Linked DNA regions of Tamandua tetradactyla. The protein of the gene in region 2 interacts with the protein of the main gene of each other region in a pairwise test. Links are inferred from orthologs where the notes say so. Each region holds a gene or a part of one and is shown on either strand. Other genes may lie near its edges. The genes, in order: CCDC184 and GPANK1.

Evidence for each region.
Region 1: the proteins of GPANK1 (region 2) and CCDC184 interact in binary tests that used the Homo sapiens proteins (3 or more experiments, as listed by UniProt). The two-hybrid records come from large-scale screens. The link is inferred for Tamandua tetradactyla from reciprocal best matches to the Homo sapiens genes GPANK1 and CCDC184.

Annotation. Positions count from the first base shown.
Region 1 is NC_135333.1:108,224,776-108,240,476, reverse strand, and holds CCDC184 (coiled-coil domain-containing protein 184), read right to left. Parts: upstream 5,914-15,701; 5' UTR 5,499-5,913; coding exon 4,905-5,498; 3' UTR 3,687-4,904; downstream 1-3,686. Other genes in the region: ASB8 (ankyrin repeat and SOCS box protein 8), read left to right, coding at 6,082-6,196.
Region 2 is NC_135331.1:87,248,276-87,264,426, forward strand, and holds GPANK1 (G patch domain and ankyrin repeat-containing protein 1), read right to left. Parts: upstream 6,218-16,151; 5' UTR 6,122-6,217; intron 5,279-6,121; 5' UTR 5,106-5,278; intron 4,863-5,105; exon of another isoform or gene 4,860-4,862; 5' UTR 4,756-4,859; coding exon 4,130-4,755; intron 3,536-4,129; coding exon 3,094-3,535; 3' UTR 2,075-3,093; downstream 1-2,074. Other genes in the region: C5H6orf47 (uncharacterized protein C6orf47 homolog), read right to left, coding at 205-1,098; CSNK2B (casein kinase II subunit beta), read left to right, coding at 7,137-7,208, 7,908-8,010, 8,517-8,632, 9,047-9,122, 9,266-9,455, 10,024-10,114; LY6G5B (lymphocyte antigen 6 complex locus protein G5b), read left to right, coding at 11,151-11,208, 11,331-11,459, 11,753-12,153; LY6G5C (lymphocyte antigen 6 complex locus protein G5c), read right to left, coding at 15,058-15,221.

The DNA.
Region 1 (15,701 bases), on a different chromosome or scaffold from region 2:
GAAAAGTGGTAAGGAAGAAAGGGCAGCTTTACTGGACACCTCATGAGAAGCTGGTGCAGGTGACTGAAGTGGCAGAAGTTCCTTTTCTAGAAAGGAGATTTGTATCTCATGCCCTTGGGGAAAAGACTAAGAGAAATGGAATCAAGGGCCAATGGGGGACTCACCCAGAACACTCATCAAAGGATTAAAAGCCCTAAAATGCCTTTGGGAATCATTACCAGCTCAATTTGAATGATATGGGCTTCAAACTGGTGATATGGCTAGAAAATCTAACAGGAAAATGAAGTACATGGGGAAAAAAGTATGTCAGGGCCATACTAGGGAGGACCTTGGCTCCACTCTCCCCTGTCCACCAGATTTTATATTTAATTCAAGAAGTATTGAGGATATGATGCAGGTTTCTGAGGAGAACGAATGTTCCGAGCTCTGGTTTAGGGAGAGTAATCTTCCTAAACCAGGATTATAGATGAGGGAGATCCTGGGGAGACCAATTAGGAGTTTATTGCAGTCATTTTTGTATTCTTCTCAAATTCATTCTATTTATTCAGTTTCCCTCTCTCTCTATCACCCCACCATCTGGCAGTGAGCCAGGTCTTCAGTAAACATTTGGTGGTGCTTGTTGAATATAAAGCCATAAATTCACATTGAGAGTCCCCTTGTAATGATCCCATTGTTCACCAGGTGGCACCATCACAACATTATTTACAGAGCACAAGTCCTACAAGCACTGTGCTTTCAAGCAGAAGGGCTGTTTTTTCTGGGGAAATCCACCTTCTGGGGATAATCCAGAAGTGGAAAAAAATATAAGAATCAAAAATCCTCCTTTTGTCCTTCCATATCGTTTCTTACCATAGCAAGGTATCCTGGCCAAATGTCTATTCCCAAGAACACAGATGGGGAAAGATGCTTATGAAAGCTGGCTTTCCCAAAACGCAAGCAGTTTTCTCTCTTGCGAGAAATATAGACTTAAATATATTTGGGAAAGAACTGTTCCTCAGTGCTGGTAAAATGTCCAGATGATACATTTCATTAAACATATCAAGCAGAGACCATTATCGGTGGTGATATTAAGATCATTTATAAAATTGCTTGTTTCTGTTAGAGGCCAATTTGTACCCTTTAGAAAAACAACTTTTTTTCTAAGAGCAGATTTGAGTTTTATTAGGCTAAAGTTGTATCTTATTTCTCTGAAGTTGTATTTTCATTTTGAGATTAAGAGCTGAATCCTTAGACAGGTGAGAGATGAGAAGGCCAGGACCTGAAAGTGTTGTTCTGAGTGACTATGAGATGCTGGGCACACAGTGTTCTTGAGTCCAGATGCTTTGTACCAAGCAGCACAAAGTTACGGTAGGGTCATCTCCTCACTTCCATATACCAGCACTGCTCTAGCAAATTCCCAGGGGCTAACAAACTTGGAAGTAGTGGTAGGCAGGAGTCTTAGCATATAATAGGTGTCAGTGTTACTTGGATTGGTTGAATAAGTAGTTAGTAATCAGATTTATGTGAAGATTTCAATTTACTGTGGAAAATACTTAGGAGGCCCCAAGAGATAAAAATGCCAGGAGTCCCAGATTCAGGCACTGTCATTTTTTTCTTTGGTATTTTTTCAAGATAAAAATGCTTATTGCCCTTTAGCTTCAAGAGTCTTTTGGGGGTATTATAAACCCTTTTAAGAATCAAGTGAAAAGAATGGCCCTTCTCTCTAGAGAATGCACATACTTACAAGATTTTGCATTCAATTTCAAGGAAGTGTGGCCCCCTGAAATGCCACATTAGCAATTCCACTAACTCATCAGGAGCATTCCAAAGGAGAAACAGAAAAGGAGAGTGAGGAACAAGGAAGAAGGAAGAGGTGGGAGACCAACCTGTGCTGGATACCTGTGAGATGCTAGTACAGGTTACTGAAGAAAGCTGAAAATTCGCTTTCTCGGGGGAGATTTTTATCTACTAAACTTGGGGAGAATAGCTAGATAACCTTTAGGAGGCCCCTGGCTAAAGGACTGATGCCATAGAGGGCTTAGGAAGGGGAACTGAAATGGAGTCAAGAGTTAAAAGGCTTAACTAGACTTTTCTACAGAAAAGGCAACCCTTGGGATTCATGTCAGACTCCAACAATCTGAGCTACAGAGACTAGGAAAGATGTACAAGGATGGTGTTGTGTCAGGAAATACTCTCAAGGAGCAGGTCCATAAGGCCATTTTCTTGGTGCCATTTTTGCATTATCACCCACTAGACTCAGAAGCTACACTAACCAAAACCTGAATCACATTTTCTTGTCTTTTCAGGACTGTTTGTACTCCAGATTGGAGAAATAAGGAATCCTCTCAGAAGATCCAAATAATAGAGCACTTAAGCAGGGTGATTTCGATCAAGGGCCCTTTAAGTCAGGCAAACCAAGGTTTAAGTCCTGCATCTGTCAAGTACCAGCTGTGTGACCTTGAACAAGAAACAGACTCTAAGACTTGGAAATAGTAATAATGCCTACATCATAGGGATATCAAGAGACAAAATTGGCTCACAGTAAGTCCTCAATAAATGATAACTATCATTGTCATTATTAGTGCTGAATGTTGGAACTGTTACAGCAGGAACCTATTTCCCGGTCCTCAAGGACACTTCCCCTCTTACATACTTTAGCTGCCCTCTCTAGGGCACCCAGCACTGGTTCCCCAATCACTGCATAATTCAAGGCTTCCTCTGTTCATCCTATATGTGCAAAGACCTTTTTGACCCCTAGCTGCTTAAACATGTATGACAAAAAGGCCTTTGTCTGTAGGGAATCTCACCATCTTCCTTTCCTTAAATCTATTCTGAAGGATAAGGATACTTTAGATAGGGAACAATTATATAAAACAAGAACTTCTGGGTAGTTTTGTTTTCACAAATGAGCTGGCCACCATCCCACCCATCCCCAAGAGAACTGTAATGAAACTAACATTTGCAAAAGACTTCTTAGAGGTCTTATTTAATCCTCCCCAACAACTTTTTATTCCCATTTTACAGATGCAGAAACTAAGTATTAAGTGATTGCTTCAGTCCTGGAACTGAGGTTTAAGGCTAGATTGGCAACTCCAGTGCTGTTTCCACCTCCCTCAGCAACCAGCAGCACTAGCACACACACATATGCAGCCATGGGAATTTCGTTCCAGGGTAACCTCCAGAAATTTCCATTGCTCAAAGGAGCTGACTAGAGCTGATGTCAGTCTAGGTTCCCTGGGGAACCCCTTACCGGCATTCTTCAGTAGACGCCTGTGGCAGTTACTGTGGTTTCTCCTTTGTGTGTCGCTACCTCTCAACAATCCCAGGTAAACCCTCCCAAACAATATCCCCTCTCTAGCCCTTCCATGAAACAGGTGTTATGCCTGCCATTCCAGGACCCAGGCTTGGAAATCATCTCCCAGGGACCAGTTACTTCACTGAAAAGACATCTCTAGCACATCTAGAGTTCGGGCTACTAAAAACCCAATTTAGTTTAGGAGTCTCAACACATACTCCCTCCTTCCTTAGTCCAATTGGTGGTTAGGGTCCAGGAAAGAAAGTAAAGCCGGCAAAGCTGTCAGTGTCGGTCCCGACCAGAGTCGGTCAATTCCTCAAAACTGGAGGCAGGGAGAAAGAAGGCAGAGTTCCTTCCAGAATCCAGGGCCCAGAAGCCTCACCCTGATATCCCCCTGATACCAGTCAGCAAGGAGGGGAGATGACACCTCTTTATTAAGTTCACACCAAGGAAAGCATTGAGAAGGAATACACAAAGGAGGGAGAAGAGCACACAAGTCACCACTTGAGGAGGCATGAGGGAGGCACATCAGTTAAGGATCCTCAGGACAGCCACATGCTCCATGCCCTGGTTGGGGGTGGGTGGGGAGGAGAGCAAAGGGGGAAGCGCCATGATAGCATAGAGCTCCAGAAGGGTCTGCAGCCTCCTCAACCTAACATCAGAGCCAAAAGCCCTGCCCCTCAGGGCTCACACACTACTATACAAGTGGACACACAAAGCACACAAGACATCATGGAGGCAACACCAAGAGGCAGTGGGCAAGGACATTTTGTCTGGAAAAGGAGCTAAAGTTAAGCAGGAATAGCCAGAAGTGAGACCAGCTTTTGACTGCAGCCCCCAAGAGTCCCTCAAACGTCCCCTAAAGCTGGGCTGTTGCTGAGCATCCCGAGTCTCTGCCTGTGAACCGGGCTCTTTGTTCTCTAAGCCCCAGTGAGTGGAAAAGCAATCCCAGATGAAGTCAGTGACAAGGCAGGATCCATGCAAAAATCCTAGAAGTTGAGCTATTATGTCTTCATGCACATACATAGCCAGCTCCTCCCAGCCCAAGCGCCCTTGGAACCCCATTCACCCAGATTCCTAGGGCTGCAGTTCCCTCCTCAAGCTTTCTTTACCAATCATCAGGCGCAGAGATTTGTGAGGGGGAGAGGTTTCTGCAGAGCACTGAATATCTTGGGTTTCAGCAGAAAGGTAAATTTCCTGTTTCCAGAACAGAATACCCCAATTCCTTAATTCCTAGGTAAAACTTTAAAGATTATTTGCCAGAGTCCTAGATAAGTCCTTTTTCAGAATAGAAAAAGCAGAATTTTATTTACATAATTTAGGAGTTCTCCAGTTGGCTGGGGAGGGGACAAGGGTAGGGTAGGGGATGGATGGTAGTCCAGAGATGGGGCCGCTTCTTCTCCCTGAACCTCACCTTTCCGCGGTTTACAAAGTCTCTCTTATTGGGCAGAAAGAATTCTTGATGCTCCCAAAGTCTTCACCCTACAAATCCTTCCTCAGGGGAGTCTCTCAGTCTGACCAACAAGAGCAGCCGTCAGAAGCATGCTGCACCGCGCTGTTCAATCCCCTCACGTCATGCACCGGGAAACCCAAAGCCAGCCGGGGAAGGTAGTGCCCATGCGGAGTCTCCTTACAGAGAGGCCTCACCCTCCAGCTGCAGGAGGGTAATGTCGGGCAGATCAAGGGGATCCACAAGTGGTCCGTCCCCCGCAAGAAGGCCAGCACAGGGGCTCTTGGGGCGCTCACAGTGACTGGTGGGTGTGGCGGAACTGGTGGGCACCTCCTTCTCCTCTTCCTCATCGTCGTCCTCCTGATCCTCGGGATCACGACCCGGTAAGCCACTGTCTCCCGTCCCAGGAGAAGGGATCTCCGGCTCTTGGGGGGTGCCCGAGAAGCTCCCTTTGCCGCCGACCACGCCCAGGCCGCCCTGGCGGGGCGCGGTGGTCATAATCTGGCACATGGAGACGATGGCCCGTTGGTTGGCGCACACGTCGTCCGAGAGCACCTGGATATGCGAGGCCTGCTCGTCCAGGGCCCCCCGCATGGCCCTCACGTCCTCAAACAGGGCCTGCAGCTGGGCCTTCAGGTGCTCCATCAGTTCCTTCATGCCGCTGTTGTACTCCCCAGAGATCACGTCCCCCACGGCCGGCACGGTGGACACCTCCAGGGGCGCCGGCATGTCGCCGCCGTCCTTGGTCATAATCTCCAGCAGACCTTCCTCCATTGAATGGCACAAGCGGGCGGTGGCGGCCCGGTCTCGGAGTGGGGCAAGGGGCGGGGAGGGGTGGGGTCCCCGGGGGGGCGAGAGGAGCCCAGGGAAGAGCAGGCTCTCCAGAGGGGCAGGAGCCGACTTGAGGAGACGAGTCCTGGGAGGAGGGCGCGGGCAGGACCTGGAGAGGCAGGGCAGAGGCGGCGGGACGCGCGCCCGGCGAGGGTCCCAGGGCCGGCGACTCTCGGACTGTCCCCGGGACGGAAGCACCCTGCCCTGCTTATCCTGGACTGCGCCCGTGCCGGCAACGCCTTTCGAGCGCCACGAGCGCCTGGGTCAAGGCCGAGGCCAGCAGCGGGTCCGCCTCGGGACTCCCCCGCGCCATTAACCGGCAGCGCCCGCGAGTGTGGCTGGAGCGGCAGAGGTGGGTCTCCCGGCCGCGCCGCGAATGCTCCTCTGTTTCCAAGGCGACGCACGGCACGTAAATGACGTCTGTCTCCATGGCAACCAGGAAGTGGAGAAGAAAAGGAGAGGACGGTTGGGAAGCTGCAGTGGGGCTCCCTCGTCTAAGCTAGCAGGTGGGGCGGGAGGGGAGGGGATGCTGCAGTGGCCTCAGGGTAGAGAGAGCATGTGGCTGCGACGTTCTATAGGAAGCAGGAGGGAGCAGTTTGCTGCGTACACGCCAAGCCCAGGAGAGATCATCCCTCCCCCAGGTAGGGTATTAGACACTGAGCGCGACTGCCTCAGAATGCTTCTCACCAGTCGGTATTCCTTTGTCAAAGGAATGGCGCTAGACCCAAGTCCTACTTTTCTGTCCTCCAGCCGTTTGCAGGGAAGCGGAGGGTAGAAAGACCTACGCTAATAATCCCAGACTTGAACTGGTGCGCGGCGGCGCTCTGCGGTGGGTCCCGGCAGGCCATAGCTGTGCAGGGGCAGGAAGAGGGCACTACGGAAGTTTCTGCAGAAAATCAGCCTATTTCACTGTAGTAAGCACAAAACTGAGAAAGGGTGGGATTTCCTCCGTTGGAGACCCACTCGCTCCTATCTAGGTCACTGTGGGGTTTTCCAGGATAGTGAGGCAAAGCACTCACACTTTGAATGAAAGCTCCTAAAAGCAGAGGTTTTTGTTTTTGTTTTTGTTTTTCACCTCATTCACTTAATCCCCAACACCTAAAATAATCCCTGGCACATAGTAAATTAATGCTCAGTAGATTCGTTGAATGAGTACTTTAACAACAATCACTCTGTCCCCCATTCCCTCATTCAGAACTCTCAACAAGTAGTGGATTTTTTTTGAGACCTGAATTCAGGGTATGGTTCTGCCACTATTAATTCAGAGATCTTGGCTTAATCAGTTTCCTGAATATGTGGGTTCCTGATCCACGTTTTCCCGATCTGTGGATAATCCATAACATTATTTCCAACTCTGAATAATACTACACCTGCTCACAGGTGAAACGGTAAAGTGTAGAGGGATGATGGGGGGGGGACCAGGTGTGAGGGTAATATCCCCCCCTTCCCCAGTGCCCATGACATACACTGAATGTCCCAACTTTTGTGACACTACTTGAGGGGGAGAGTGAGAGTTGAGGTGGAGGAAGAAAAATTTGATTTAGTATGTTTACAGAAGACACAAGATTGGGAAGCAGTGAGCACCTGAGCAGCAGCATGCTAGTAAATAATGTCTCTACTAAGTCAGAGAAGCCAAGTGGTTAGAAACCGAAAATGAAGTTCCTAAGAACAAATACATGTGGGAAAAAACAAACTATCACTTCAATATGGAGAAGTGCTAGCTATGGGTGAATGTTTTTTGTACAGTTGTTCAGTGAAAGCAAATGTGTTGCCTTGGGGTTACTTTGGTTGGGTGCTCTAATGATGACGAGGAAGCTGGTGCCCAGAAACTTAGGGCACTAAAAAACTGTTTGGCCTTTGCCTGTCTTACGGCTATTAAAAAATATAAATTGGAAATATCCTAAATGTCCAACAGCACAATGTTTAAATAATCTAAGGCATTGCTGACATAATACAATAGTACACAGCCATTAGAAATTTGATCCTCTTCCCAATAAATGAGCAAAAACAAAAAACAAAAAAAACCCACAGTATTTTCTAAAACTAATGATTCAATACTATTCGCTTGCTCCTTCCTTCCTCCCTCCATGCCTCCCTCCCTTCTTTCCTTCCTTCCTATCTACTCTTCCTTCATTTCACAAAGTTGAATCACTCTCACCTTGCTTATCCCTGCTACCTTCCACAGAGTATTCCGAAAGCACTGGCTCAGGAGAGGACAGTAATGCTTTTTCTTGGTTTCCCTAAACACACCTGAAGTGGGCTGATATTTACAAATAGACTTTACAAAAAATTGTAAAGACAAGGCACATAAAAGCAGCTAAGCTTGTACAGCGTACATTTCTGGTCATATTATAGCAAGTTTGTTTGCAGAGCTTATGGAATCAGCCTCCTGCTCAATCTTCCTAAGAGAGCTATACTCCAGCCAAAAAAGGCTGGCATGACTTCCAGGCTTTTTGCCTGCATCTGTTACTGCACATCTCTTGGCCTACAGCTACCTACAAGTAATGGCCCTGTCCTCATAAGAGGGCCTCCTATTTTATCAATCCACTAACCCTACATTAAACATAGCCTCCTCAGAGTCAGAGCTGGGTTATGCCATCATACAAGGCTTTTTTCCACTATTGTTGAGGATACCAGATATGTCAAGGCTTTAGCATAAGATTACATCATGCTGTCTAGAGGCAGTGGCCATGAAGCCTGCTGAGAATACAGCAGGCTTGAGCCTAGAGGAGAGGGAAATTATTGGAGAAGCAAGAAAGAAAATGGGAAACAGGTGCAGAGATGAAGGGGTGTCGATGATCCAATCAAGTTCCAGGTCAGACATTCGAAAGCCAAGGGTAGGTGGGAACTGGGAATGGACCAGTAGCAAGATTTGTAAATAAAAGAAGGAGATGATTGATGTGACAGATACAAAACCAGATCATTTCAGGAATTCTGAGTGAAAATATGTTGGGAAAATAGGAGTAGAATCTAGTCTCCAAAAAATTGCACAGCAGAGCAGAGCCTCAGTCAGATGGCTGAATTACAGGGCTGGTTTCTCTGGATGCCAATGTCCTAGGTTTGTTGAATGGATCCATTTCCAAACAAAAGGAAGCAGGATGGGCATCCTGGCATCCCACTGAAGTATTCAGAAGGAATGTCACATCGCGAGAGAAAAAAATCCCCCCTCCCCCGTCATGTTCTGCTTCTGCTTCCTGCTTTTCTCTTATCTTAGTCTTGCTATCCCCTCATCCTAGTCTCATCAGCTCATGACGAGAAGAGACCCCATGCTGTTACACATATAGATCTCCTATCAGGTGCACCCAGATCCAACATCATATTCTCCCTTAAATTTGGATTCCGAATAGTCTCTGTTATTTATTCTATCTGGCATCTAGTTTATCTCAGTCTCTATATAGCTGGGTATCTTTTGCACTATTAATGTAACAGTCATGATGAAGATACTTGCTTGACTCGGGTCTAGGACAATGATCTAAGTCAAGATACAGCTGACTACTGCACTTTAGTTTCCAAATCCCCAACAATAACTCCCCAAACGTAACTTTTAAGAAGCTGAAGTGCCTGTGACCCATCTCAGTATGGTATTGCATTCAAAAGAAATACATACACTAGCCAAAAATAATTAAAAAGCAATTGAAATTTTTATTAAAGTCTCTGGGAAAATTCTAAAGGGATTTACTTATATTCTTAGCACAGAGTAAACCATCTTAAACTTCTCTTCCCTCCTTCTCCCTTTATTGCACACGTAATAGCATAACTGTTACCATTAGTCTTTCTCCTTTCTCCCCAGATACCCCCAAACTTTCTCACAAGCCTGGCCCTCACTCTCTCTCTCTTTTCTGCTTCTCTCACTTCTGGATGTATTCCTTCTGTCTTCTATAGGAAGAGACTCCTTGCCTATCCAATGTAGATCAGTCCACGTTTGTTTCAGTTCCTTTGATTCTGTCCCTCATTTCCCTGACCTGCACAGATTCGAGGTACCCCAGCTGTCAATGACAGGTGTCTCAGAGGGCCAGAGATACTGAGAGGATGAGAATACTCGTATTATGGGTTTTGTCTATCACTTAGACTAGGTTTTCTCGGTACCAGAGGATAATTTGCCTGGTGTTATGGCCGACCTGCTTTGCTCATCTCCCCACTTACCCAGAGTAACAAGCATCGAATTTTTCAAGGATTCTGGCCCTTGTGAACCGTTGACTGGGAAGGAGCTCAACTATCCATGTCCTCAAGAGATTTTAGTGACAGACATGGCCATGAGGTGAGCCACATATCCACTCCTTACTTAAAGCCTGAGCTGGACTTTCAATGGCTTGTTCATGACCTTAAACCACTACAATCACCCCCACCCCACCCCCACGAACACACACACACACACACACATACATACCATTGCCTTCTTTCTCTTCCACTTTTAACTTTACCAGAGCAAGAACTCCAAGGCTCTGTCCAACTTCTCAGGCAGGCTGAATTTCCACTGAAAGTGATCCCTTATTCCAATTGAACCTGCTTTGTCGGTGTCCATTCTCTCTCCCCTCTCTGTACTGCCCACGGTTACAGCTTCTCTTATAGCAACACTTGCACGGACATTTTTTCCTCTTTCAGTGCATATTCAATCATTTATCCCACACCACTCTCACATAAGCAATTCCAGTCAAAGCAAGCTGGGTAGTTGGCTATAGCCACAGAGGCACTGGCAGCTCTGAAGCTTCTGATGACCTCCTGTGCACTGCCTCACCCACTTTCCAATCTCTCCATATATTTTCTGCCCCTAGGAAGCTACCATTCTGGAAATGCTCAGGGCACAGTTTGACCACAAGTTAGAATCCTCCTCAGGATAATGCTGTGCCATCGACAGACATCTACAATTCCTTATGCCATAGGCAATTTTGCTTGTAGAACATCAGTCCTGTTTAAAGGAAAATTATGCCCTCATCTAGAGAAGGTAGAGAATGTGGCATTCCCACAGACTTTCCTTCCATGAAAATAAATTTTAGAAATTTAGTATCCCTCAATGCTGACTTATGCAAACCTCCAGGGTCACATCTCACCTGTCATATCTTGAATAAGTCCGTGGCGGTCTACCATCACAGACAGTGCATACAAAATTTTGTAGGTGTCACTCTGTCCATTATATCTAGTTATGTTCTTCCCATCCCTCTCAGAAGTCCTATAATACTATCAAAAGTGGTTTCTAGCACTCTCTTTTGCTATGGGGTATGGTACCTCAAGGGTCAGCTGCAGTTTAGCAGCCCCTGCAAGGGTACACTCCAATTTTATCCCACAAATGCACAGTGCTCATGGTAGTATGATGGACAGAGTCCCCAAAATGTCATCCATGTCTTCCAAATACCGCAGCAGTTCTGGGCGTTAAGTAGAAGTGAGGAAATGGACACTTTTCCCAACTTCACCCAGACCTTGAAGCACCTTTTTAAGAAGTCTCTCATGAAAACAGCCCCGTCTTCTGGCTCAACCTCAGGTTCACAGTTTATAGGCACAATGCCTGGGTTTTTGGTTTGTTCTTAAGGCACCAAGATCCTGCCAGAAATCCTTCCATTACCTCCCTCTCAAAGGAAGTTCTACCTATACAGAGAATAAAGGGTTTAACAAATGAATATGATTGCTGAATCATTACATTGATATTTATTTTTAGTCTCCAGTATCTTAGAGCAGCTAGAAGTGAAAACCTAAAATTGTGGAATTGTAACTCATACCAAATCCTGAAATCTGTTTTCCAACTAATTGTTGTGCTGTGCTTTGAAATTTATTGTTTTTCTGTATATATGTTATTTTTCACCAAAAAAAAAGAAAGTCACTTGTGATGACAATATATATGAATTCCTTCTAGCCCCTTATATTATGAAACAGCTAGAAGGAAAAATCTGAAGTGATGGTATGGTAGCCCTTAAAAAACTCTTGGATCTGTCCTTTAATTACTTGTTGAAGAGTGCTTTGAAAACTATTGCTTTATTCTTTCATTGATTTGTATAAATACTATATTATACAATTTTAAAAAATTAAAAAGAAAAAAAAGAAGCTCTACCTGATCTGCCAGATCTGGTCCTCTCCAACCTATCCTGGGCCACTTCTCTAACTCTAAGCCTTTCTCACTCCAGTCACACCCTGACCTCCTTGTGGTCCCTCTCCCTTCAGTCTGTGCACATGCTACAACACTCTCCCCTAGAATGTACACAACTCTTTTCCCTACTTCAGATCAAACATGGCCTTGCCAGTGAAATCAGCCTTGACCATCACCTATATAAAATAGCAGCCCCCACTCCTTTCACCCCAGAACTCTCTAATCCCTTTTCTTTGCTTTATTCTTTTCCATGGCAGTTATCAATATATGTTATTGTGCTGGTTTGAAAGGATGTATGTACCCTAGAAAAGCTGTGTTTTAATCCTAATCCCATTTTGTAAAGGCAGCCATTTCTTCTAATCCCTATTCAGTACTGTATGGTTGAAACTATAATTAGATCATCTCCCTGGAGATGTAACCCAATCAAGAGTGGTTGTTAAACTGGATTAGGTGGAGACGTGTCTCCACCCATTCAGGTGGGTCTTGATTAGTTTACTGGAATCCTGTATAAAAGAGGAAAGATTTTGGAGAATGAGAGAGATTCAGAGTTTCTGTGAGAGCAGAACAACATAGCTGTGAGAAGCAGAGAGCCCACTAGTCAGTGACCTTTAGAAATGAAGAAGGAAAACGCTTCCTGGGGAGCTTCATGAAAGGAAGCCAGGAGAGAAAGCTAGCAGATGATGCCATGTTTGCCACATGCCTTTCCAGATGAGAGAGAAACCCTGACCCTGTTTGCCATGTGCCTTCTCACTTGAGAGAGAGAAACCCTGAACTTCAGCAGCCTTCTTGAACCAAAGTATCTTTCCATAGATGCCTTTGATTAGACATTTCTATAGACTTGTTTAAATTGGGACATTTTCTCAGCCTTAGAACTGTAAACTAGCAACTTATTAAATTCCCCCTTTTAAAGGGCAGGCCACAGTGGCCCAGCAGGTAAGAATGCTTGCCTGCCAAGCCTGAGGACCCGGGTTCGATTCCCGGTGCCTGCCCATGTAAAATAAATAAATTCCTCCTTTAAAAAGCCATTCTATTCCTGGTGTATTGTATTCTGGCAGCTAGCAAGCTAGAACATTATACTATATTTTTATTTGCTCATTTATTTTTGTCTTTTGCCCCTAACTAGAAAGTAAGGTCCGTAGAACAGGAGTTGTTTTTGTTCACTGCCACATCTCCAGCACTTAGAGTAGTGCCTGACACATGGTGAGTGCTCAATAAATATTCGTTGAATAGATGAATGAATGAATGAATGATGTCCAAATCCATGCCTAGAAAAAGCAACACCTCCCTTAAGGACATGTAATCTGCAGAGCTTCAACTCTGCCTTAGTTTAAAGCGGAGTTTAGTTTCTTTGGTTTCAGCCATCTACTATGGTGATCTATAACTCATATTCACACAATAAAATGGCATATTTAGTGGTTTTCCTTGAACAAAGGAATACTTACTGTAGAGAGAAATTGAAAACGCCACCTCTTGCAGAACAGAAAAGTGCTTGCAACCTTGAAATGAGAGCAGCCCATTATGTCCTCACTCCCCCAACCTAGCCCTCCCTGCAACTGCATATCCCTTCACTATCCCCTTCAAAAGTCTCAAAGATATTAAGGCCAAGTTTATTCAGAACTCAAGGTAGCAGACTGCATGTTCCTCTCAACCCTTGATGTTATTTGAGAATGGAATAATGCTGTCTGTATCCCCACACTGTTTGTTAAGGAGAAGTCCTGATTTATACTCTAATTCTTCTGAAGACAGCCTCAAAGTAAGTACCCTATAAGTACAATCTTACTCTCTGTGAGATTGTCAGCTGTCAGGGGATGTTATGAATAGAGAGGTTATGATGCTTTAAAACTCCTGTTCTTCTTCCTTTTGCATTCCTAAACTGGTAGACTGTAGTAATTTAGGGTACATTAGTCCAGTGTCCTTTTTATAATAAAATTGAGGTCTGTCTGTTCCTTGCTTTTGCCCTTCCCTACTTCTGTTATGAAACAAAAAACCGACACTCACAGCACAAAAACAACAACAAACAAAAAACTCTTGGCCCTTATCAAATATGATATAAAATGATATAAAAAATGATATAAAAGATCAGTCTTTCCTGGGTAGCAAAACTAACTTAAAACTAAACATCATACATGGATCAGAAAAACAATATTTATTCCAGAAATTGAGGTTAGTGATGGTATGGTAAACAACCTAAGGAGGACAGTTTCAATAAAGCTTTGATGTTGTCCACAATGTTGTCTGGGTCTCTGAGAAGCAGAGAGCAACTTAATGTGAACCTCAATGCTTATTGCCCAGATCCAAAGGATTAAACTAAAACTAGATCCTCCCCCAGAGTGTGATCCCAAGTCACATATCCAGTCTTCTTTCCTAGCCTATCCATCACCATATCACATACACGCTTCCAGTTATTTCTTATATTATTAAACATCACTTCCCTCTTACCATTAGTGGCTTTTTGCTCCTAGGCAGAACTCTGAGTACCATCTAAGTTACCTCTGGGCATGATAGATAATAAGCCGTCCACAATTTCACATTATTAGAATATTAAAGTTGCTGATGTTTAAATTGCTATGTGGATTGTGGGACATAAGGCCTCTCTGTTTTGTATTTGTGGATTTTTATGAGTGTTTTGGGGGAAGTTGTTTTGATAGAAGAGTGATTTTGGAGAAAGTTTCAAGAGACAAACAGAGAGATGATGCAAGGCTATAAGTTGAGTTCTCAGGTCTATGGAAAGAAAGGGGATTGTCAATACTGATGTAAGAGAGAAGAAAACACTAGAAAGAAAGTTCTCAGTGGATTTCTGACCTTGGAACAAACTCTAGCATAGAGGGTGGTGAACAGCATTCTGATTTTACTAAGGCAAGAAGGAGAACAAGGCATTTAGGTAGGATTTCTAGACTGACATCTTGGGAGTGATTGGATATGTGACAGAAGAACCTGGAAACTCCCTTTCAGGAGGCCTTGGAAACTGAAGAGAGTCTTACTTGACTGAGTTTAGTTTAGGAAGAAATGATTCTATTACCCCTGAGGCCATCTCTGTGATAATTTGACAATCCTACTGCCCACGTTTTAATCACAAGCCAAAGGCTGAAAGAATTCTGAAGTGATCGTATGTGTGTTAGTTAGATTCGGTTGTCAACTTGGCCAGGTGAGCATACCTAGTTTTGTTGCTGCGGACATAAGCCAATGGTAAGTGAACCTCATCTGTTGCTAATTACATCTGCAGTTGGCTAGGAGGCATGTCTGCTGCTATGAGTGACGTTTGACTTAATTAGCCGGTGCTTAAATGAGAGAACCTAAGGTAGCACAGCCTAAGCAGCTCGGCATTCCTCATCTCAGCACTTGCAGCTCAGCCCAGGCCTTTGGAGATGCAGAAAGAAGTCACCCCGGGGAAAGTTGTTGGAACCCAGGGGCCTGGAGAGAAGACCAGCAGAGACCATCCTGTGCCTTCCATGTTAGAAAAACTTCAGTGGAAAGTTAGCTGCCTTTCCTCTGAAGAACTAACAAAATTAATCCCCTTTTATTAAAAGCCAATCCGTCTCTGGTGTGTTGCATTCCGGCAGCTAGCAAACTAGAACAGTATGTTTTTCAAAACAGGAAGAATGCTTCCTTTATCCATTTCTTCCTCCCCATTCCTCCTCATTTCCAGCTTCCTTATCTCCTGCCTGGAAAATTATAATAATGTCAGTTATTCTCTTCCAATCTTTACTCTCTACTTCCCTCCCCTCTCCTCACAACATCCTCTCCCTTCACAGCAACCAGAAAAATCAATCTAAATTTAAGATTTGAACCTGTCCACACCCCATCTTAAAACTGTTCCAATGGCTTTCCTTAATCTCCAGCCTTGGTTTTGTTTTTTATTCCCAGCACTTTTCTGCCTCCAGTTGCACAAAGCAGCTATAGTTTCCATATATCCAGCACACAGTTTCCTGCCTCCATACCTTTATTCATGACGTTCTCTCTGCATGGAATGCCTTTCCAACCTCTTTTTTTCTTTTCTTTTCTTTGTACATCTATTAATTGTGAAATAAAACACAAATGTATAAAAATAAATAAACATGAGCAGCTAAATA
Region 2 (16,151 bases):
TGCCCCCACCATCCATAAAAAGACACTCAAAAGCAGCCCTTTTCTCTCATATCTGAAAAAGGGACCTGCACCCTTATATCCCAGAGTTTCTTCCCCATCCCTGAAGTCCCTGTGCTTCTGACCTGGTCATGCCCACCCCCTCCCCATTCTCCTCCTAAAGGCCACACAATCTTCACCCCCTACACCCACCCACCCACCCCACAGTCACAGCCCCTTTCCCAGGTCCTCCCTCTGTTCTCCCCCTTCCCTCCCTGATCGCTCAGCCTCCAAGTCAGTGGCCCCCTCATCTCTACTGGGCTCCCGGAGGCTGACAGCCAGCACCAGAGCCTGCAAGAGGCCAAAGAGACAGGCAAAATGCAGGGGGTGGGAGGTAAGTAGGCTCAGCACGGCATGGAGCCCATGCAGGGCAGCCAGGAAGGACAGAACCCCATGCAGCCAGAGACCCAGTGGCCCGCGCAGGCCCAACGCATCCAAGGCTGCCCGCAGTGGCCGCGAGCACAACCCCAGCAGGGCTGAGGCCAGCAACTCCAGCAGATGGAGGGTCAGGTTGGTGGAGATCTGAAGACGCTCCTCTGGGCCCCCCAGGTACAGTGAGGGATCCCCTGCTCCTCCTCCTGGCTCCCCCCGCAGCCAGCCCAGCAGTTTCTGATGCCGGCCTGGCTTCATTTCTGGGGCATCAGGACCAGGGGGCCTAAGAGCCCCTTCAGGGGGCACCCCGGGTCTCTTGAAGTCACCTGAGTCCACAGGATCCCAACCCAGTTGGGGAATGTTCCTTTCGGCCTCCAGTCTCCCAGAGTCTTCAGTGCCAGTGGCAGTCTTCTTCCACTTGAGGGAATCCATTCTTTTACTCCCCACTTGCTCAACTGGGGGTTCCCTGTTTGGTTCTGGGGCAGCCCCAGAGCTCCTCCATGCCCCGGAGTCCTTGGTTTTGGGAGGCTCCACATCTCCCATGGTTTCTGGGGCACTGTCCCAATCACTCCCTGAATTCTCAGGGGAGCTGTCCACCTGTCTGGGTTCTGGGGCAAGCAGGTCAGGCCTCGCTGCTTTCCGGCGGCCCCAGGGACGAGGTAGCCAGCCACCAAGTCGGTGCAAGAACATGGTCAGAATGGGTAAAAAGCCCCAAATTCTGGGCCTACTTCCTTGCACTGCTCAGACTCTCAGGTTTGGGGACTGAGGGTCTCTTCTGAAGCAAGCCAGAGTCCATTCAGGCTCAGAAGAACAGGTGTCCACTTGGTGAGACCGTCCTATTCTGAATTCACTTGCCCAAGTGGTCATACAAACTCGAGTCTGGCAGGTGGTCACCTAGATTCTTTTTCAATTTGAGGGGACTGAAGGGCGGTATACCGAAATTCATTCACAACTTCCCAACGCACACGATTCCAAGAGTCCTGGGATCCAACAAGGCCTGGGTCACCCCGAAAACGTGTCTTCCCTGTGTTTCTGGGTTTCCTTCCCAGAAGGCAGCACCCCAAGTTTCACTCACCAAGGCCACGCCCCCAGGTGCCCCAGAAACTGGGGAGGCGGTGCTCCATCCAAGAAGGAAGGAAGGTAGAAAGGTGGCCTCGGGTCTTAAGTGCTCCTGGATCTGGGGAGTCTTGAACTGCCGCTCTTAGGTAGCTTAAGGAATAGGCGATCTCGTCGTTGGGGGGTGGGGGGGGAGTGTCCAGCAAACTCCAGCCAGCAGCAGCGTTTTCCCTTGATTTGGGGCCTTTGAACCCTGTAAGGTGCCCCGATCGGTCCCCCGCGCGCGCAGCTGAGACGCGGCCTTCTGCAAGGTCAGACCGGGGATATCCCCGGAGATTCCGGTCACGGGAGCAAAGCGTGGGCCTGCCTGGGGATCCAGGCGTCCGGGAGCTGCGCGAAGTGGCCCCTCCCCGGCCCAGCGTCGGGGCCGCGGCCTCGAGAAGCCACCCGGAGCCGCCGAGCCCGGAAGCAGCCGAACGGGGGAACCGGAGGGATAGGCGAGGGCGGGGCCGAAAGCTCGCAGGGCGGACCCTGCCGATCGACCGCCCCCGCGCCCCGGCGCTTTCTGTTCGCGCCTGTGGTGCGCCCCGGGCCGCACAGCAGGGCGCCGGGCAGGAGTCAGCGAGCTCCAGGGCCTGTCCATAAACGCGGCTCTCCGTTTCCGCCGCCTAGAAGCCTCAGGGCGACCAGTGCGTCCCTAAACTCGCCCGTTCCCTCCCTTTGCGGGTTCCATCATCAGGTCTTCTGACTTTATGAATGACTTTTCCAGAAAGAAAGATGATGAGGGAAGCCTTGGACTTGGGCAGCCCTTCCCTGCCACAGATTTTACTTCCTGGAATTGATAATGGTGAGCGTCTCACAGGCCTGGCATCTGGGATGAGCACCACAGGGCAGTGGAGACAATTAGGATGTACTTCCTGCCCGTAAGTTTTCAGGTTGTGAAATGATGATCCCTGCTTTAAAGTTTAGAGTTAGGAAGCCATAAGTTTTGGTCCCAGATGAGCCAACAGTGTACAAGCTGGATAGTGTTGGTCCTCTAGGCCCACCCACCACTCTAGACTCTTCTTGCCAGACCCTATCCGTTCTCATCACTTCCTCTGCCAACCTTCCCTACTCCTCTGTATGAATGTCTCATTCATATTCTCAGCACACTGTATATGAACTTATGTTTGTGAAATCAATGGCTGAATTGACTGGAGTGGTCAGGGCAGGCTTCCTGAGAATTGCACAGAGCTAGGCAATTCTTGGTTTAGGAGTTTGAAAGAATAGGTAGGGCACTTCCAGCAATGGCTAGGACCTGAAAGTGAACCCAAACTGGCAGGGACATGACCCCATTATGTCACCTGGAGGGGCTGCCCCTTATGGCTTTGGGGGGACCTTGCTACTTTGGCCCCCACACTTCTGAATATCTTCCTTACAACATCTCACAAAAAAGTGAATAAATCATGCAAGAGGGAGGAGACTGATTTATTTCTCAACTCTTAGCTCTTCTCTCCCAAAAGTCAGAGCCCATTGAACAAAACCTAAGGATCTAGGGAGCTGGGTGGACCCCAGGGAGCAGAGGCCAAAGTGACATAGTCAGAAGCCAATGGTCAGATGCCAGCAGACCAGGGTCAGACCTCACCAAGGTTAGAAGTCAAAGTTCATGTATATCCTCAGATCCCGCTCCCAGGCCCTGCCCTTCTCATGCCTTCTCTCCTCTTTCTGGCTCAGTGTAGCCATTCGAGGGGCTCGCTCCCTCCCTGCCACAGCCCTGGTATCCCGAGCTGGGAAGTGTGTGATTCGGGCCTGGGGTGCTGATCTGTAGCCTAGTCCCTCCTGGTCCCTTTTGAGGACAGTTGGGATGGGTTCGGCTCGGCCCTCACCCCGGGGTCCCAGTCCCATCCCAGGTTCCCAGCCTCCCCTCAGCAGCAGCTTGAAGCCTGGATTGGAGGCAGAGACTCCAGGTGGCAGGTTGTGGGGCTGGGGAATCCAGGACAGCGACAGCAAGTGAGCAGTAGACGTTTGGTGGTTGGAGTCTTGGAAGTGGGCGTCACAGGTCTCACAGTACTGGGGAGAGGGAGCATGAGGCCTGCAGAGGAAGAAGAGGAGTTGAGTTGAGGATGGGGGCTGTGGGGTGGGGGAAGAACACAGAGGCCTCAGAAGGGGCTGGCAGGGTGGGACAGGTTCCCTCCAGCCCTCTGGCTAAGGAACAAATTGCCTTCCTCCCCACTTGAAGAACCCAGTGGGAACCCAGATGGGAATGGTTGGGGGAAGAGGTGGTAACCAGGTCTCAAAAAGCTCCTGGGGAAGGGAAAAATAATAATGATAATGAGAATAATGAGTAAAGCTAATATTTATATAATACTTATATGGCAAGCACCATTTAACATTTTCATGTATTAACCCATTTAATCCTAATAACAACCCTGTGAGAAAGTACTGTTATTACCCCCATTTCTCAGCTGAGGCAACCGGGACACAAAGATGTTAGGTTCCTTGCCCATGTAAGTAAAGTCAGGATTCAAATTCTGGGAGCTCGAGTTCAGAACTCCTCCAGTATACTATCTTATCACCTACACTGAGGAGGAAAGCTTCCCAGCTCTGTTCTGGAACCTCTGGTACAGAGTGACTAGAAAGGGCAGAGCACACTGATATATGTTTATGGGGTAAGGTTTCCCCTCACCGGTTCTCTGGGCTCCTTGTCTCTCCGTGGCTCTCTCTGATCATCCGGGCCACCTCAGGGAAGCCTGCCTCTTCAGCCAGCTGGGCAGCATCCCGGCCACCTAGCTCACAGACTCCCACCCAGGCAGCCCCGCGACCCAGGAGATAGCGCACAGCTGCCTCCTGGCCGGCTCGGGCAGCACACATCAGGGGAGTCCACCAGAAGGTGTCCCGGGTGTTGATATTCCCTCCAGCACCCCCTGCCTCACATGGCTCCAGTAGCCTTTGAAGTTCTGCCAGGTCCCCCTCCTGGGCTGCCCTCAGTATCCACTGAGTCATCTTGTCCTCGGCTTCAAGGGATCTCTCTTGTCTGTGTCCCCCTGATGCTGCTGTTGCTGCTGCTTCTGCCACAGGTGTCCCCACCACTCTTCTTTTCTTCCTCTTTCTCACCCTGATAGGCTTAGGCTGAGATCTCTGAGGTTCTGAGGGGCTGCTCTCATCCCCAAACAGGGCCTCATAGAAAGCCCGGGCTGCAGGCCCATCCAGGACAGGCTCTGGTTCCTCAGGCTGTGGCTGCTGCTGCCCATCTTTCCAGAGGTCGCTGGGGTCACTGGCTGGGGTGAAGGTGATAAGAGAAGGCCTGGACATGACTTGGGGGAGAACTGAGAGAATGAGACTCTGGCAAGGGGAAGCTCAGACAAGCAAGCCAAGCGCCTAGTGGCTCTGCAGTGTCCAAATCCACTTCCAGGGAGCTGCTGGGGTGAGGAAAAGTAACCTTAGAATCAAAGACCATAGCTGTCCCAAAAGAGACCCCCGAACTTAGGGGCCTGCAAGGTCACGTATAAAAATATGAGATCCTACAGTAACAGGTCTGTCTCTTGCTAAAGGTTAACAAAGAAAACACCCTGAGAGAGTTGCCCAGAGATCCCGAGTCCAGACCTCCCCAGCAATAATACCAGCCTCTCTTTGGATCAACTTTTCCACCCCGTAAGACATACCATTAAGAAAAACATCAGCCTGGCTCTTTAAATCTTCCTCAATCCTAATTCGGGGTTCCGTCTTTCCGGAAAAAAACAAAAAACAAAAAAACAGACATGACACTTCTCCGGAAGAGGATGTCAAGCAGAGGCGTCTGTCTCTTAGAGCTTCCGTACGGCAAAATGGCGCTACTCTAATAAAACAAGCCAATACAATCAAATAGCTACAGAACACGAAGGCGCATGCGTGATTGAAAAAAATGCATACACAGCCACTACTCCCGACGCCGGCGTGCGCAAAGCGTCGGGTTCAGTTTCCCGCCCTGGAATCGTGCCAATAGTTTGCGCGCAAAGCACCATGTGCCCAATTGTCGCGAGGACCGAGGAGGATCAGTCGGTTGAGGCCCGACTTTTACATAACGCCCCACAATGCCCTTCGCAACCCTCAACATTGTCCACATTTCCAGCCCATTTTCTGGAACTAGGAAGCCAGTCCCTGGGTTAAGAAAGGTCTTACAGAGGCAGAGGAAAACCTGTGGAATGTCGATAAGCTGTGACATAAAATAACGTCACGGTGCCCCTCACCCTTACTCTGATCAGGGTTTGAAGATCACACTTAGAGCCCATAGCAAAAAACCCCTCCCACTGTAGCTCTTCTAAGAGATGGAGCAGTGCAAGGCGACGAGCGGCAGGATGGCTGGTGCCACCTCAGGTTAGCGCAGTGGACCATTCTGGTTCTTAGACCGCTCAGCCCAGCGCAGCACATCCCACCCAAGTTTCTCAGCACGAATGCCGACCGCACCTCCCACTTCGGGTGAACGGGGCCCAAAGTGAAACATGGGCCCTGCCAGGGATTGGCCTGACTCTGGCAAGGAGCCCGATAGCTGATAAGGGCCCAGCAGAACGGTCCGGAATGGAATCAGTTCCGTGTACGGCAGCGCTATGCCGGTAGCCAGTGTTCGCTCGGCTAGAGGAGCGGCGGGGAGGAACCAGAGACTAGCTCGCTATTTCCCCGCCCCACGTCGGCCCCTCCGTACCCTGAACACGTGATTATATTTCCCTTAGTCTCTGGCCCCGAACGTGGAGTTAGGCTTCCGCTTCCGGTGGTGACTCGCTGCGCCCCGCCCCCAGCCTTCCTCGCGGATTCCGCGACCCCAGGGTCGGATGCGGGTCATCCTGGGATTCGTAGTTCGCTTTTCCCTCATTTCGCTAGTTTCTCCGTACCGGAGACTTCATCTCCCGGCGTCCTCCCTGGCACCCGACCCTTAGCGCTTGCGCGTCGTCCTCTTCCCCACCCTCTCCAATTTCCACTCCCCCCTACCCCGCTTCTGCCGCGGTCCGGTCCGTGGCCTTCGCTGTAGCGGTCGTCGCCGCCCCTTGAAAGCACCAACTCCCCTACCCCCCCTCCCCCGGTCCTGGCCACCGTCTAGCAGGTGAGTCTGAGGTCGTCGCTGTGCGGAACGTCTACTCGCTGGGCGCGGCACATGGGGTCTCCGCGTCTTGATGTGGGGGCGGGGAAGGAAGTGACCCGGTCTGGTACCCAGGGAGGAAGGGAGGGAGGGGTGTCCTGAGGGGTGGAGGCGGGATGTGCGAACTTTATGGAAGGGATCTAAAGAAGAAACCTGGCGATTGCCCGGGAAGGATTAACTTCGGAACCCTGGGGAACCGGGCGATGCAGAGCTTTGCGGTATTTCGGCGTCCGAGGCGCGGACCCTACCGGAATTGACACGGGGGAAAAGGGACCTAGCATTCGGGATCGCCAGGGATGTGGAGAGAACTAGTGAGAAAAGATATATAGGCTTCTCGCAAATGATGGTAGGAGGTGGAACATCACAGAATGTCTGATTGGGGGGGAAGGAGGCCAAGGCATGTAAATAAGAGGGGCAGGAAAGGTGTGCTGTAGAGTCAGAGATCCTTTAAGATAAGGTGGCCCCAAATTTCTCTGTGGTTGGAGGGCAAAGTGTAGGAGGAGGGAGGATATTAAGGGAGTAGGCAGGGAGCAAGAGCTGTGGGTCACCAGCTTCACATATTTTTTTCCCTGCAGACGTGAAGATGAGCAGCTCAGAGGAGGTATCCTGGATCTCCTGGTTCTGTGGGCTCCGTGGCAATGAATTCTTCTGTGAAGTGAGTTCTCTTAAACGTCCCTATTTCCTACACATATTCTGGCCCCAGACGTTCTCACTCAATTTTTTCACATGCTACCATGAAAACTCCTTTCTGTCAAAGAATGATCCTCTCAGTTTGGCCCAGTAACCTGTGGTGAAATACTAATCCCATTATTCTCCAGCAGTGTAACTTTGAATAAGCCAACCTGTGTCTCTTTCATAATAGTGGGGTGGTAGTGGCAGTCTCTTTTCAGGTTGACTGAGGAAAATTGAAGTACTGTGTGTTAAAAAGTTCTATGAAGTGCAAAACTTTGTAGTAACATAAGGATTGTAACTGCCTTGGGAATCTAAGCTGTTCAGCTTCCACCTTCCTGAGAGACAGCTGTCCCTAAGGAGAGGATAAACGTGGTTCCTAGAGATGGGAGTGGGTGGGTGGGGTGACGTTCAGGAAAAAGGATACAGAACATGAACAGAATGTTTCCAAGGTGGAGGTTGGTGTACCACTTTATCCTTAGAACAGAGAAGCCAAAACTTTTATGGAAAGGAGTATGTGTGAATGGGAAAGAGAAAGTCAGGTACTTCTATTGAGTCCCTGGGAATGGGAACAAGGGTAATAGAAGTAGCTACACTGAGGACCAGGCATCATTTAGAGCAACTTGCCTTGGCCAAAGTTGTGGATTCCGCTATGAATTCCCTCTTGACTTCCACATCTTAACAGGTGGATGAAGATTACATCCAGGACAAGTTCAACCTCACAGGGCTCAATGAGCAAGTACCCCACTATCGGCAAGCTCTAGACATGATTTTGGACCTGGAGCCTGGTGAGGCACTCTCAGTGTTTGTTTTTTTTTATTTGTCTTTGTTTTGTTCCCCTTTTTCTACAAATCTCTGTTCACTTGTTTCTTTAATTCCTAATTTTTTTTTGCTTCTGTGGCTTTCTAAAGCCAAAACTCCTCGTTTTGTTTTGATCACCATCTGATTCTTGCCAAGTTCTTGCCACATGTTCCCATGCTTTCTTGTCTTGTAACTCAACTCTGTTCCATAATGCCATCTTTCGCACATGTCTTGTTTTCTGCCTCTTTCTCCTGCCCTGCACTTTCCAGACTAAAGTTCCTCATTCTGCATTAACGTCTTTGCATTTATGCATTGAGGAAGGAATTGGGAGGGGGAGAAGAAAACAGAGGCTGGAGAGGTGTAAAGGAGAAGCAGAGACCCAGGTTTCTGGGTCAGATGCCTAAATAGTGGGTGGCGGGTACCCCTGGGAGTGGGTGGAGCATCTAGGAAAGCTGAATGACTAGTGTTGCATTTGGGCTGGAACATATTTCAGATGAAGAGCTGGAAGACAACCCCAACCAGAGTGACCTGATTGAGCAGGCGGCGGAGATGCTGTATGGATTAATCCACGCCCGCTACATCCTCACCAACCGTGGCATTGCCCAGATGGTGAGGTCTCTCTGCTCCCACTTGACTTCTTCTGAGAAATAAGAGAAACGAAGGTTCCCACAGTGAGAAGTCACACATTTTAACCTTGCCAGGGAGTCTAGCTGAGAAGAGGGAAAGAATCCCAAAATTTGGGTCTGAGAATTGAGTCCAGACTTGAGTCAGGGAGGGAGACATGCGTCTGAATAGAAGTTCTTATAGGCTGCCTCTTCCTCAGGAAACAAATGGCAAATGGCTTTGATGGTCCTCAGCCTAGCTGAAGGAAAGCCGAGGAGTTTGAGCCAGAGAGGGAACTTCTGACAGAGGCGGGAGGATTGACGGACAGAGTGATGTGGGTTGGGTTGAGAAGGGAGTCAGAACCACATAGGTTGCTTTTTCTTACCTACCCACCAATCTCTTCCATTTTATTCACCTTAGTTGGAAAAATACCAGCAGGGAGACTTTGGCTATTGTCCCCGTGTGTACTGTGAGAACCAGCCAATGCTTCCCATTGGTGAGTGTTGGGGAGGGTGACATATGGCAGGTTCCCTGGGAAGGAGTTGGGACTCAGCAAGTCTGGGCCTGAGTCCTGTGGGGGGGGAGTTGGTCAGGGTTGGTGGGTGAGTGCCCAGCCTGCTGAGTCTGGCTGTCTCCCAGGCCTATCAGACATCCCAGGCGAGGCCATGGTGAAGCTCTACTGCCCCAAGTGCATGGATGTGTACACACCCAAGTCATCAAGGCACCACCACACAGACGGCGCCTACTTCGGCACTGGTTTCCCTCACATGCTGTTCATGGTGCACCCCGAGTACCGACCTAAGCGGCCAGCCAACCAGTTTGTGCCCAGGTGGGGAGCTCGGACAGTCACCAAGAGTCAAAGGAAGGGCATGAAAGTCCCTGGTTGTCCCAAAGCCAGGGCTTCTCTCTGCTGAGTGACCTTGAATGCATTATTCAAATTCCTTATTTAATTTCCTTACCTGTAAAACAGGATTGATGACAGAATTTATTTAACAGGGTATAGTTAAATATGTAGATTGTTTAGAACAAAGTTCCAAGGCACTATTGTAATGTTAAGCTATTTTCACCACTGCCTTGAGAGTTCAACCTTTTACCAGAGAATCCTGGGAGCCACAGGGTAAACCTGGCTCATCTTAAAGCACCGGTCTGGTTGTGGGGAGGAAAGGCTCAGTTTTATATTGAAGCAAGTACAACTATATATCCTAGAGTTTCAATTTTAAGATCCATGTCCAGATATTTTCCAGTGCAGGAGTTTGGGAACTGCTGCCCTTAAGCATTGAGCAGGCCCAGGAGGATCTGGGGGTAGGGGGTAGGGAGTGGGGACAGGAATGCAGACCCCTGGCAGGGCCAGGTTGGGACTCACCCTGCTGCCTCTCTGACCTGTCACCCCGACCCAGGCTCTATGGTTTCAAGATCCATCCGATGGCCTACCAGCTGCAGCTCCAAGCCGCCAGCAACTTCAAGAGTCCAGTCAAGACGATTCGCTGATTACCCCCTACCTGTCCCTCAGTCTTTGATGGCCCTATTCCTTCGCTGCCACCCTTTCAGGAACCCTTCATGGTTTTTAGTTTAAATTAAAGGAGTCATTACTGTGGTGGGAATATGAAATAAAGTGGAAGAAAAGGCCATGAGCCAGTCTGCTGGTGCTTGGGGTTGGGGAAGGGAAGGTGGCAGCGTGCTGGACCTCAGGAGCCCTCATGGCCCACCCTCCCCAAGTTGAAACTTAGAACAGGTTTGTGCCTGGTGGGTTTGAGTGATGTTCTTAGTGGAGAACAGAGCAGAATTCTTAGGACTGGATGTGAAGGAGTGTACCATTACAAGGAAAAGACCTGGAGAAAAGTCAGTTTTCAAAGACTAGAGAAATATTTGTTCTTTTCAGGCCATCTAAGGCTGTCTGTTTATACTCTAAGGGACATAACGAAATTTGACAACCTTGTCTTTCAGTTTTGGTTTTAAAGGGGAAGTGGTCCTAAAATAACAACTGTGAAGGATAGAGCAAAGAGGGACAAGGTCCGGAATTGCTGCTCAGTGGTGCCTGTGCGCCCCCTGCTGGGGGAGTCAAGACATGCTGTCTCAGAAGACTGCACACACTGGGCTCCGCAGCCCATTTTTTCCCCAGCATCTCTGGTCCAGCCCTGTTGTGTGGAAGAAGACAGCAAATGGTCCCAGACACAGACATACTGATCCTTGAGGGGAGGGAATAGGGCTCGGGGGACCACGCAGGACAAAGTTGCCTGGTTAAACATCCAGGTGGGTCCTAGATACTATCTCTGACCAGGCCAGTGCCCCCACATTCAGGAACCAGACCTCGTGGGTGAGAACACATTGTCCTTCCTGACAAATTAACTTCTCCCTCAGCCCAGGATTCTGCCCCAGGCAGGAATATAGCTCTGCATCTACAGCAACCCTTGCTCAGACTGCCTGTCAAAACTACCCTGCAGTTCAGGATCAAGGAGCGTGGTCATAGGAAAGTGGGGTTTCAAGGCATCTCTCAGGGACTTGTCCCACTCCCTAGAATTCCATAATGAAGGTCCATGTGCTTGTAGGCACCCTGGTCATGGCGGGCTTCTCAGTGGGAAAGGGTAAGTGGGGCACAGGGGCAGGGAGGAAGGGGTTACTGAGTCCAGGAAAAGGGTGGGGAAGGGGCTCCAGATGCTCAAACTCCCTCAGAGGAGCTCTTATCTCCCATTTTCTGCTTCCCTAGCTCCTGTTCCCAAAGTCCGGACCTGCCACTTCTGCCTCTTAGAAGACCCGGCTATAGGTTGCATTTCGGGCTCAGAGAAGTGCACTATCAACGGCTCGTCCCCATGCATGGTGATCACCATCTATTCCCGTGAGTTAAGTCCAAGGAAGAGGCTTCTGGGGGAACAGCCCAGGGTTTGGGCTCCCCTCCTCTGATAGATAGGGACTTCTCGGGGTCTGAGGTGCAGGAAAAAGAGAGGAGAATCTTGGAGGAAGGGTCTGGAGTTTTTGGGAGTCAGCTTTGCTGTTTTTTTCTGGCCCCTTCTGAAGGAGCCTGGGATGGCAGCCCTGTCTGGATAAGGGATGGGAGAAGCCAGTGGTAGGGTTGCCAGGTCTGGGGAGTATGGGGGCAGCAGGGATTAATGGCTGTCCCCTCTATTCCAGATATCCAGGTTCGCTTCAATATCAGGGGCTGTGGACAGCACAATTCATACCGCTGCCAGGAAAAACGCCACACCTATGTCTCAGAGTATTGGTACGATGCCCAATGCTGCCAGTATGATTACTGCAACTCCTGGACAAGCCCCCAACTTCAGAACCCCCCACCTGAACCCCCTGATAGGCTCCTGGCCCTGCCACTGCCTGAGTCCCAGATCCATAAGTTCTACCACGCCCTGAACCTCTCACTCCCCCTGCCCAGCTTCCCTGCCGAGAAGGAGCATGAAGGCCTGGACCACCTGGCCACCCTGCTCCTGAACCTGGGCTTGTCCATTGCTGACCTACGTCGCACCTACCTCTTTCTCAACAGTTCTGGACTTTTGGTTCTTCCTCGGGCTGGACCCTGACCCATTACTCCTTCCAGAGTCCATTCTGTTACAGCATCCTGCTCCTAACACCCCCGGAATCCTGCACTGCCCTCTTGGAGAACACCCACGTTTGCTGGTCACCCTGATTGTGTAGGCCTCCCTCCTTTGAACCGCCAACATTTATATGACTTTGGTTTTATCTCCTCTCTTGAACTAAGTTGGTAGTGCACTCAAAGCTGCTCTTTCTTCCCCTTGGCAAAGAATCTCAAGGGTGAATTCTGCCCAGGCTGTGCCAGGAATGGTGCAGTGGTTTCCTCCATCCCTTTCTCATCATCTGAGTATTTCATAGTCTCCCTTCGTCTTCCAGTTCTCCTTCAATCTGATCATCTACCAATTCCGTTCATATCTACCTTAGTATCCCAACTCCTGTGCCCATCTCTTATGACCCAGTGCCAGAAAAACAAACAAACCAGTGCCAGGCTGAACCTGCAGCGAGAAGAATGAAAGGTAGACTTCGGTGCAGATTTCCTGACTTGGCATTTTGGTATTCCTGCCTCACTTTTTACCACCCCAACTGCCACCCTGGTCTCCTGTTGCCCTCCCTCTATCATCTCTTCTCATAGTCCCCTGGCCTCTTCAGCTCCACTTCACTAACTATGAGTCCCAAAATCCATCTTTCTAGGTGCCTGGCAGAAGGAGAGGGGAGAGTCTGTCCCACTCTGCCCTTTGTCCCTCAGTTTCCTTCCACAATAAACTGGGTCTGGGCTAAGTCTGTGTCACATTGTTTGTGGGGTCAGGCTCAGGTATGGGCAACTATAGGCAAGCTGAGTTTAGGTGCAGGATTCAAACAGAAATGTAGAGCTCTGCCCATAACACTTGACTTTTGTGGCTTTCTCCAAAGAGTCCATCTCCATCTCCATCCCATCTATCCATCCAGATCCAGCTGATCTGCTTAGCTAGAGATCAAAGAAGAGGAGTCATGACCCCTCAACCTTGAACTTACCCTACAAAACCTAGGAAGTTAGACCCAGTGGGTGCCAGGCTTTTCAACCTAAGAAGAGAGAAAACTTTCTTTTTAAACCAGGAAAACTTAGGAGGAAATGAAAGGGTTCAGGCCTGTATCTTGCCATCACCTGGTGCTGAGGGGCCTGGGATCCTGCCAGTCCTTGATTCTTTTCAAAGAGCCTGGCACCCAGGACCTCCCTCTACAGGGGTTGGAGGTAGGTGTAGAGAGTAGACAGAGAGGGCTGCAGTAGTTCATTTTAATTTATTTTTCAGAACTGCAAGCACACAGAGTAATAATGCACATAACTTGCCCTTTCCCATACATTCAGTGAACACTTAGGGACACAATCCTCTGAGTCCAGCCCTGCCTTAGGCCCCAGGATTCACAGAGGAGTGCAAAATGGTGCCTGTCTTTCAAGTTTTATAGCCCATGCTGATGTTATGGACCCTTGTTCTGAAAAGCAGTGTAACTTGTGATTGAGAGGCCAGTCCCAGCTCTATGACAAGTAAGCTGGTCTCCAAGCCTCACTTTACTCACCGGTAAGACAAAGATAGTCTTCATAGGACTGTGACCACATGAAAAGGTACTTACATAGGACCTGGCACATGGTGCTCAGTGAGTGTTGGCTGATAAGGTTTATGTGTCAGATATAAGGTAGGGAGACCTCACTACCACCATATACACCTACCTTAGGGACAAATGCTACAAAACTTTGGGCCTGTTTATTTTTTAAACCTTTCTGACAAACGCCATAAGCTTGAGTATATCAGGAGGATTTTGTAAACTATACACACCAGTGACCAGCCCCCAAATTGGAACAAAAGCCTTCATCAGCACTTGAAGCCATTTTCAAACCCTCACCCAGGCACTCTCCCTGACTCTAAGGGTAACCACTGTCATTTCTTGTAGCAGTTGAATTTTCCCTGTGTACTTGATAGGAATGGCATCATGCAGTATATATTCTTCAGCTATACAGCACTTTTCCTATAGCTGAGGTTAACAGATCTCTGTGGCCCTGTAAAAGCCTATGCTGTGATGGAAAGCACCAAAATCAGTGTTAATTTTTAGGTCACAAGATGGGGGCAGAGAGGTACAAATCCCCAGTGTGGCCTCCTCTTGCTGGACCCACTTTCCTCAACCTCTGACTTTAGTATAAAGAGAAAGGCTTAGGTTTATACAACTCTGGCAGTCTGAAGACAGCCTTAGAGGTGGAGGAAACTTGAAGAGGAAGAGGTGGGCCTCGGGATCAGAGAGGTCAAGGCTCAGATAGGCCTAGCATCTCCCCCACCCCTTCCTCCCTGGCCCTGACCCTTTCACAGCCCTACTCCATGGGCCCTCCTGCCTGCAGCCCCCACATCTTCCTGAGTCTGACAGCACTTTGAGGATGACCCCTGCCCGTTTTGCCTTCAGCATAGAAGAGCTTCCAGTTCCTCTCCACCTTTTTGAGTCAAGAGTTGAATCAGAGGCATGGAAGCAGAGCTCAGCAAGGCTGGGAATCTCTTATTTGCCCCCATGGTGGAGTAGTCATGCAGGACCACTTCCCTCACTCTCCACCAGAAGAGACAGACAAACTAAACAGTTTGCACACCAATTTATTTTGGAGAAACATCTCGGGATTTGGCAAGGGAGAGGGCTGGGAGGGAGGAAAAGGATTGGGGCAAAGAGGTAAAGGAGCAGCCTAAGAAGAAGAGAGCAGGAAATATTTTTTGAAACCTTTCTGACAAAAAGGGTTCTTTTGAGGGCCTAATGGAAAAACTCCAGAAAATTCTGGAGAGAAGAGCCTGGGGGATGGTCAGAGCAGTAATAGGGATCTTGGGGGAGGGAGGCAGGGAGGGTTGGTGTGAGGGGTTGGAAGTTGTCCTGGCTGAGCCCAGATGGGAATCCAGAGTGTAGCTGGAAATGGATGGAATTTAACTTGCAAGGTCTTTGCAGTCGCTCTAAGAATTGTAGATCACTCTGCTCTGAGGGTCATTGCATAAATCCATGAAGCAGCATTGAGAGGATATCCAGAAGCCAAACACCGGAGACGTGTGGGTGTATGCACAGTCTTGCATATGCTCCTTGCGGCGGCAGTCACTCACCATGATGTCAGTGCCACTGCCTGGGGGAGGGGCCACGGCACCAGTGATGTGGCTGCCCCAGGCAGGGGCCCAAATCCTTTCAGCCCCTCACTCCAAACTGATTTAGCATCACTACCCCCACACCCTGCCCTGGACTCCTTCAAAATGAAGAGATTCCTACAATTGGTCAGGGGTCAGTAATACTCCATGAGGCCCCAGCCATGAAACTCTGTTGGTTTCCCATAGAAGGTTGGGGAGAAAGAGCCACTCACAATGCAGTCACAGCTGGAGGGGATTGAATTGGGGCATGAAGAAAGCACGCAGGGACCATGTGGGGAAAAGCTGCGGAGATGTATCGGAAGTCAGATTGCAGAGAGGAGGTGTTTGTCATTTATTTTATAGGCCAAAAGTAGAAGCATAATATGATTACCTCCATTTCTAGATACATATCTTAGACATACACATACCACCCCCCAAAGAAAAAAATATCTTTGTGCCTGTCATGGTCAGGTTCATGTGTCAACCCTAACTAATACAGTGCCTATGTCCCTAGATGTCAGATACAGGGATGTTCACTGCTCCCATGCTTGAGAGAGTGACCAATTAGAAACAACCCAAACAGCCTCCAGTAGTGGAATGAATACGTGGCTGCTGATAAGCCCATACCATAGGGTGCTCTGCAGGAGGTCAGCAGAACAAGGAAGCTGTTTACAAACTGATATGGGAACATTAAGTCTCCATAACTATTAGGTTTAATAAACAAATGCAGGACAGTGTTTATAGTGGCATGCTGTTTTGTGAAAGTGGAGGAAGAGGGGGAAAAGGAGTAAACAACAGTCTATTTGTATAGACTGGATATGTACAAAAGATATCCTAAAGAATAAGAAACTGAAAAGAGTGGTTGTGTGCTGTGTATGCATGGGGGCTGAATGGATTAGGGACAGGAACAGGAAGGAGACTTTCTTTGATAG